Danio rerio: one gene and its partner. The protein of the gene in region 1 interacts with the protein of each later gene in a pairwise test. Links are inferred from orthologs where the notes say so. Each region holds a gene or a part of one and is shown in the gene's direction. Other genes may lie near its edges.

Region 1 (4,025 bases):
ATTTAAGCCTTTTCTCTGAACATTTCACTGAATGGGTCCCCCGGACCTTATTTTGAAAAGCCCTGATTTAGGGTAAAGTCTAGATAGAAATAGGATACACTGCTGGCTAGAAGTGCGATATGCACATCAATATAGCAGCAATTTTAATGACACTGTATAACAATAATTAATATTTTTACATTACTGTTTACAGGTTTAGAGTTAGGGTAGGGGTTGATGTTTTGTTATAAATGCCATAATGTTGTACATTCAAGTCTATCTTTACAAAAACCAATTTGCGTGTTGTATTATTCTGTAATGTGCTATATAAATCTGATATCAACTAATTGTAATGATCAGAAATTAATCATATATTTACTCTGTTTTCTCCACAGACAAGGACTATTTCCTGATCGTCATTCAAAATCCCACAGAGTAGTCCTTCTAAGTACTTCTGAAGTATTTTTTTTTCTGTAATTACAGGCCAAAAGTGTTTCATTTAATGTTTCAGTGAGGTTTATATAGTACTATTAACCACATAACATTACAGGAAGTTGCTTCTTATCCTATTATAAAAATATGGTTTGTACTGCTCTTGCTTATCATTCCAATAGTTTGCCATATACTTAATTTATTGTTTTCTCATTCTCATTTTTGCAAGTACTCCAAACTGTTCATCATCAAAAAGCAAAAACATGACACTATTACATACTGTACTTGTTTGTGAATGCTAACAGGACAATAAAACAACAATGTATTTCCTTTTATTACTTTTTGTGGCTGTGTGTATTCATATTGAATGGAAAAGGTGCTTTGTTTTTTGCCATAATATAAATTTAGTTTAGGTTTATATAGAGAATTGAAAATGATTTCATGTTTAAAATAATTCTTGTAAATGGCTGCAAAAACCTGTTTGAATTTAAATTGATCGCAAAAGAAGAAAATATTTTTTAGAAATGTTGAAAACTCTTGACTTAATTTTGCATTTTTCCCCACTACAATGGATATCAATGGTTACCGGATTCCAACATTCTTCAAAATATCTTCTATTTCATTTAATAGGAAATATTAACCCATAATAGTCTAAAACCAGTTGAGGTTAAGCAAATGCTGAGTAAATGTTTAGTTTTGGTTAAACTATTCATTTAAAGAGGACTCTGTCTCTTTAAATCTGATGACGTCACGAGCTTTAGTATATTGTCTCGAGCTGTTTTGCTTACAGTGAGTCAGGAGCTCGAAAAGAAGCCGAGTCGACCGACAATTCAGCATATAATAACACGCAAACCCTTTAAACTACTTTTAACCACATTCAAGCACAGTTATGCCATCCGACAGACCCTTCAAACAACGACGGAGCTTCGGTAAGATGAGTTTTATTCGTGCCTTGTCAGCCGAAGTGTATTTGTTTATCAGGTTTGTTTTTGTCCCTAGCCTGCTAGCAACTGCGTGACACACTGTTTACATTCCTCTACAAAGCTCTAAATGCTTATGAGACGATTATAGAAATAAATATTAAAGTCTAAATGACAGTTTTTAACAAAAACCGACAGAGGTCAGTTGCTAAACAGTAAGCTAGCTTGGGCTTTTTTATAGGCCTTGTGTTTAAATTTTATCAGCTTTATTTTTTTTACAACTGTTGTGTTTGTAAATACGTATATAACCTTATATTTAACTTTTTACTTAGAAACATAGATGAATGACATATAGTTACAGATATGTAGCTAGATAAATGTGTTGTTTACCAGCTTTGTGAAAATGTGAGATCAACATTTCTTTTTTTTGACAGTAGTGTTTTTCTGTTACATTTGGTGTAAATGATGCATTTATATATTTAGAATATTTATTGTTTGACAATAACATTGAAGGAAAGGATGGACTGTACACGTGCTGTTGATATGATGCTGTAATATGAGCTCTTTCTCATAGTCCAGACTGTGGACAGGGTGTGGGGAGGGAGGAGCATAAAACCCTTGCATAATCTTCCTAAACATAACAAGTGCAACATAGATTTGCTGTTTCAAACACATCTGTAAGAGTCCGGGTCAATATGATCTGCATACAGTCTTATATTTGTCCAGCCTTTGGGATTATACAATTGACACGGATGACCCAGACATGACATCAGTAAAAATGACACACAAGTTAGGAAGCTTACCCTGATAAGCAAGCTGGATTTTTTTTAGTTTTACTTTGAAATATACTTGCAGTGGTAGCCAGAATGAAACACAAGTTACCCACATCATCACTTAAATAGATATTGATTTTCGACAAACAAAACATAAGTTAATTTTTACAATTTTATTTATTATGACATTGTTATACAGTTTCTTTTCAATGGCTTAAAGTAAAAAGACTGTTGAAAAAAATCCACTATTTCTCTTACTTTTATACTATTCAGGAGCCATTTGCACCCTCTGACAGGTAAAATCTGCTTCTTTCACTCCAAGTTCAAAGCAAACTCGAATGCCAAAGCATTTTAGAAATGTATAGAAAATAGCCTATGTAATATATTAACATAAATTAATAAAATAATCAGCAGATGAGAAATAAATGATAGAAAAGGAATAAAAACAGACAATGTCTCTAAAAATGCAAATCTTGTAAATTTTAATTACAAGATTAAAACGTGTAGTTTATTTAAATAATGCAAATGCGTTGATTAACCATTGTTGAGCTTTCAGAGTGATAACAAAAGATATTAAACCTTTTAACAGAAATTAATGTTTGTTTGTCTGTTATACTGTACATTATGGTGGAATAGGTTTGTAGAGTAGGGCATGTCAAACAACACATCCGCAATTATTTTTCCTCAAGTTTTTAGGAATGTTTATTGAGCGTTTCTGCTAAACAGGTTTGACATAAGCAAATTCAGCAAATGCTAATGCAGTGATTACAGTGTTTTCAGGAATGAGTCTTGAAAATATACTTACTGTGTATTTTGAATTTGGACTGTAAAATGTATATTATTCAGAAGTGTACCAAATTTCTGTTTGTTTTTTGTCTTTTCAGCTGATCGTTGCAAGGAAGTGCAGCAGATACGAGAGCAGCATCCTAATAAAATTCCGGTGAGAAACTAGTTTTGTTTTATGCAAGTGTCATAAATGAATTTAGACTTATTGCTTTAGCCTTATTGCTTTCAAGATGTCACTTACCTGTCAGCTCCGGATTTCTTTTAAGATCCTGAAATTTATTACTCTAAAACAATGGGCTTCAACTTCTATGAGGGCCTTGGGGTGACTTAGAATTATTGAAAAAGAAAAGATGAAGCTAAAGCAGTTAGAAATACTGCATTTATTTAACAAAGCATCAATCATTTTAAAGTGTGATTTCTAGACCTTGGAAATATAAAAATAAGTAATATTAAAATACATTGTTCTATGTATCCACAGCTCTAAACCATTATATGAATATATCAAAATATATTAGGAAATAATCTTAATTTTTTATTGTAATCTTTATCTTTAGTGAAATATATTAGGAAATATATTTCAAAGACAAGACATTCCATTCTGTCATCTGCATCAAATTCAGTATAAGTGATTTTTATATACAGTTCTCTCCCCAGTTTGAAAATTTTTGGAGGCGAAATTTTTTTCCCCATTTCTCGGTGCATATGGATAATATATATTGGTGCATTTGATCAAAACCGATAATTAAACAGATATTTTTATTAAAAATAATATTTCAGTCACAGAACATATTTAGAAATGAAAAGATAATATATTTAAATTAATGCAAAATATTGCAAAAAAAAATTACAAACTACAACATTTCAACAAAATTGTATATATTTTTTGTAAAAGTTCCTAAGGCTCCTATGGCTTCAGTACTGAATAAACTAATGTATATGCACAAATAAAATATTGTACAGTATCCTATAGAAAATATTAATTGAAATCAGACATTTGTGGGGGGTGTACTCGTATATGCTGAGCACTGTACATAAAAAGCATAGTAACTTTCTACTTTAATGTTCTACTTTAACATTTTGACATTATATGCTAAATGATTAGAAAATATTGATCTATAATCATTTAGCATATAAT
Region 2 (4,313 bases), on another chromosome or scaffold:
ATAAATAAATACAACTCTATTCCCGCTTTCTAAAACGGCCAATGTGACTAAATTGACTAATGTTAATTAACGTTACTACAAAGCAAGCATAACGTTAACTTACCACGTTTAGTTTTATTGATTAGGAAACACAAACAAAGAACAGACAGTAGTGTTAAATGGAAAATAATGAAAGTACTTGGCTTCCTGCAGCTGAAAAAATACTGTAAACAATCAAACCATCTTCTGATCTTATTTACGTTGCTTATTTATGGTGTCGTTTTAAAGCTGTGCAGTGTGATAACGTTAGCTGGATAACGTTAGCTAGCTAACGTACACTGTTTATGTAAAGATGGCTCTTGTTGGCAAACAAAGCCTAATAAAGGAAAATGGCTCACTCTGGTTCCCGCACTGTCCGAGCTGCAGGGTGATGATTTCTCGAGGCATCCCGTCCTGCTGTTATTTCAGCTGTACGATCAGTAAATGTGAGAGACGTTCTGCTGTCAGTCAACCACTATGCGTGTTCCCGCTCCAACAGCAACGGCCTATCGGACGCCCACTGCGCATGCGCAAACTCCGGCAACTTTACAAATTTAAAGCCACTCTGTAATCTAACTAGATCAATCTTTGTAAGGATGGAACAAAATACGTTTTTATGGAAAACAGCAAATATGTAAAAGAAAAAAGACATAAACGTAGAGGGCACTACCGACGTATTTCAAGACGTATGTATGCGTTTATATTGAACAACATCAAAGCTGCGCGTCAGTTACGCAGAATTTTGCAAGCATAGAATTTCTGGTCAGGTTTAAAATGCAGTTTATTTATAACATTTCTCCGGGCAACTTTTTTTTTAACCTCCTAAGATACTTACAATGGGGATATACATATAATTATTATTTTTATTTATATATTTAAATAACTATAAATTTTGTAAATTGTAAAGAAATTATTAAACTTTTTTGTAAGAATTTAAAAGGAATGTGTCTTTTTCTCTATCTATGTAGTAATATAAGACGCATAAGCAGTTTTATTAAATTAAAATATGTATTTTAGATCTTATTCTTAGTTACTGTCTTATAAATGAGATTGTAAACTGCATTCTGTACTATGAAAAAAAATAGTCCTAAAACTTTTAGAATTATAGTTTTTTACTGCAACTGAAATTAAATCTCTCCTGAAGAATGAATGTTGACTTTTAAAATAAAAAAATATTTATATATTCCTTTTTAAAATACATAAAATATTTATCTAATTCGCCTATCCCCCAATTTACAAGCATACACAGTCTAGTAATATCCATCTACGATACATCTGTTTTATTTATTATAAAAACTAACATCAAACTGTAATGCATAAACAAGTTTAATAAGCGAATAAAGCATGGAAGGAGATAATCTGTAAGTGTTGTCTGAACGATATGTGAAGTAAGAGCCTTTACTTCAGTGGTGGGTGTTGGTTGTTGTTTAGCAGCTCTGCCTGTAATCCTGGTCTGCCATTGGCCAGATCAAGCCCGTCCTCCCGTCAGTCTTCGCTGTTGCTCCCGCGACAAAACAACGACTGGATATGACCATAGATATGACAGCAGCACGGTGACAACATTAAATTCGAGCCGAGCTGATACTTAAACGTATTAATTCAACACATTCGTGCCCAATAATGGGTTTTAACTCTCAGTCACTCCGTGTCAACAACGGCAGCCTCTTGAACGCACGAGGTCTGCCCACTGCTGCTCTGCCCTGAGCGGCTTCAGGCTAATCGGCTAGCTCGCTAACCAAACCGTTTCTTTAGCACGAGGGTTGTTTTTAGCGTTACATTATTGTACACTTTGTTGGTTTATCTACAGACACTTTTTTTAGAGACACGTTGAGTATGGCGGGTGGGGCAGAAGAAGCGACAGAAGCGAGCGGTTGTGCAGGGAGGCTGCGCTCCAGCGGCGGCCTCCGGAGCGGTTCGTGCTCCGGTGGGACATCCGAGCAGCTCCGCGCGGTCAAAACAACGCTGCTGGAGCGGTTGGGGCCACACGAGCGCCTGCTCACCTATTTGCAGTCCGTTTTGTTGTGGGAGAGACCCTTTCACAGCGTCCTACTGTACACGGCTGCCAACGTCACGTTCTGGTGAGTGGATGAGCTTTATCTGCATGGATTTATCTGACGTTATCTCGGGCTCTGTTTACAACCCAGTGCATACAGTTGAAGCGTTTACATTATTAATGGGCTTTTTGAGGATCTTGTATAGTTCTTTCTTGTTTTCGATGGATGTATATACGTGTCTGGTTGTTCCAGACTTCTGCCCCTTTTCTTTTAAGATAAGAAACAGATGATGGTCAGGCTAGGAGACTATATTTAGACAGAGCTCTGGCTGTGTTGGTGGTGGTGCTACTGTAAACATAATGCTGTCCGTGCAACAGTTTGTTATTTTGAGTTTAGGTTTAACATTCAAGTTCAACTATTAAGCTAAACTTTGAGTTTGATGCAATGATTTTACTAATTCATGTCAAGCTAGGATATGTTTACAAGAATTTTCTGAGAACAATCTGTTGAATTGTTTGTGTACTCTATATGTTGTTGAATAGCCTGTATTCCCCTTCCTACTGTCAGTATAGGCAGGAGATCACTATGACAGAGATTGTGCAGATCTCCACACTTAATTGTGGTATTCATTCATTTTCTTTTCTGCTTAGTCCCTTTATTAATATGGGGTCGCCCCAATGGAATGAACCCCCAACTTATCCAGCATATGTTATATGCAGCAGATGCCCTTCCAGCTGGAACCCAACACTGGGAAACACACACACACTCTTGCACATACTCAGTATAAGGTTCTGAAGGTATGATAACCTTGGATAAAAATATCACAGTTATGCGGTTTTGTGATTACTGCTCTATAATATATTCTTTTTAAATTTCTGGGTAAAAAAACAAAAACTCTTTTCCCTTTAAACAATAAATTTTAAGAGACATTTATGATATTTTGGAGTAGTAAATATGTCAGGTTAAATAGTTCAAATACATTTAACTTCTGTTGTCTTAATTAGTTTCAAAAACAGATTTTTTTTCAACAATTTAAAACAGCATCTTTGAATATATTTTCTGCTGGAGATAATGTTTTCTTAAAAAACAAAACAAAAAAAAAGTAATAAAAAATCGTACACGTACCTTAGAAACAACATTGCAGAAAATTTTGATGGTTTTAAAACCTTGTCTTTTCCAAACTGCGGTGTACCTTGAAAATGGTTATCGTCCCATACCTAATATTGGCATACACTAAGGCTAGTTTAGCTTAATTAGTTCAAATTGTGTTATTCAAATTACATATTTAATTGTTGATATAATTGAATGTACATGATTTACTATAAAAACTATAGTTATTTAATGTTATGAATGAGTATTACTAATTAAAACTAATGGGTGTTTGATAAGTTAATTTTTGTTTTATTTTGTCCTGAATGATAACATTCCTTCCACATTTTAAGTATGTATTTTAAATGCAAAGCAATCAATGTACGTGATGTGGGTAGTAGCATCTGTTAGGTTCCTAAATGGAAGAATTGTATTCTGCTTACAGTTTTTTCTGTTCCAAAATAAAGTATTGCCACTGTCTCATGACATTTCAACCTTCTACTCAAACAGGGTGTAAATCTTTTTCCAGGTCATGTGATTTATTTATGTAATCATCATCAAAGAGCATTTGCCACACACACAGAGAGATCAGTAGGATATATATTAGTTCCCAAACCAGTTGGATGGGCCTGGTGTGATTTTGTTCATGCCTTAAATATTGTTACTGGCCATCCTAACTTGGCAAACCATGTGCTTTCAGTACATACTTAGCATTTGTGTTTCTAAGATCAATATACATCAAAAAGAACCCTATATACTTCTGTGATGTATGAGCAATTCCATGCAATGTCAACCTTGTCATTAAAAAAATATTTTTACCAAAATAGCAAAACCCTTTCTAAGTTATTTGTGTAGGCTTGTATTGACTAAAAATACTCAGAAATGTCTCTGCCGATGTTCTCAAACAATTATATTTGATTTACTAAAGTCACACAAGTGCAAATTTCACATCCATAATGGAGAGACGTCACATTTATAACAAAGCTTTTTTCCTCATAAATACAAAAATGTTTAAAAAAAAATTGTAAAAGGATGTTAATAACCGTACAAAAAATGTGTCACTATACTTGGCCGGCCATTAATATACCTGGGCAGCCTGCCCAAGTAAAGTCTATGTGTGGGAAGAACTGCCATTCAATTAAGTCACAGTATTATTTTAAATAATGCATTGTAAACAAATGCAATGTAAACAAAACAAAATTGGCACTACAT

The links. The genes of interacting proteins can lie anywhere in the genome.
Region 2: the proteins of map1lc3a (region 1) and retreg3 interact in binary tests that used the Homo sapiens proteins (3 or more experiments, as listed by UniProt). The link is inferred for Danio rerio from reciprocal best matches to the Homo sapiens genes MAP1LC3A and RETREG3.

Annotation. Positions count from the first base shown.
Region 1 is NC_133186.1:28,686,336-28,690,360, forward strand, and holds the start of map1lc3a (microtubule-associated proteins 1A/1B light chain 3A), read left to right. Parts: upstream 1-1,219; 5' UTR 1,220-1,300; coding exon 1,301-1,340; intron 1,341-2,988; coding exon 2,989-3,044; intron 3,045-4,025. Other genes in the region: dynlrb1 (dynein light chain roadblock-type 1), read left to right, coding at 375-418. UniProt on the Homo sapiens protein: Ubiquitin-like modifier involved in formation of autophagosomal vacuoles (autophagosomes). While LC3s are involved in elongation of the phagophore membrane, the GABARAP/GATE-16 subfamily is essential for a later stage in autophagosome maturation.
Region 2 is NC_133178.1:35,948,909-35,953,221, forward strand, and holds the start of retreg3 (reticulophagy regulator 3), read left to right. Parts: upstream 1-1,505; 5' UTR 1,506-1,851; coding exon 1,852-2,096; intron 2,097-4,313. Other genes in the region: tubg1 (tubulin gamma-1 chain), read right to left, coding at 378-426. UniProt on the Homo sapiens protein: Endoplasmic reticulum (ER)-anchored autophagy regulator which exists in an inactive state under basal conditions but is activated following cellular stress.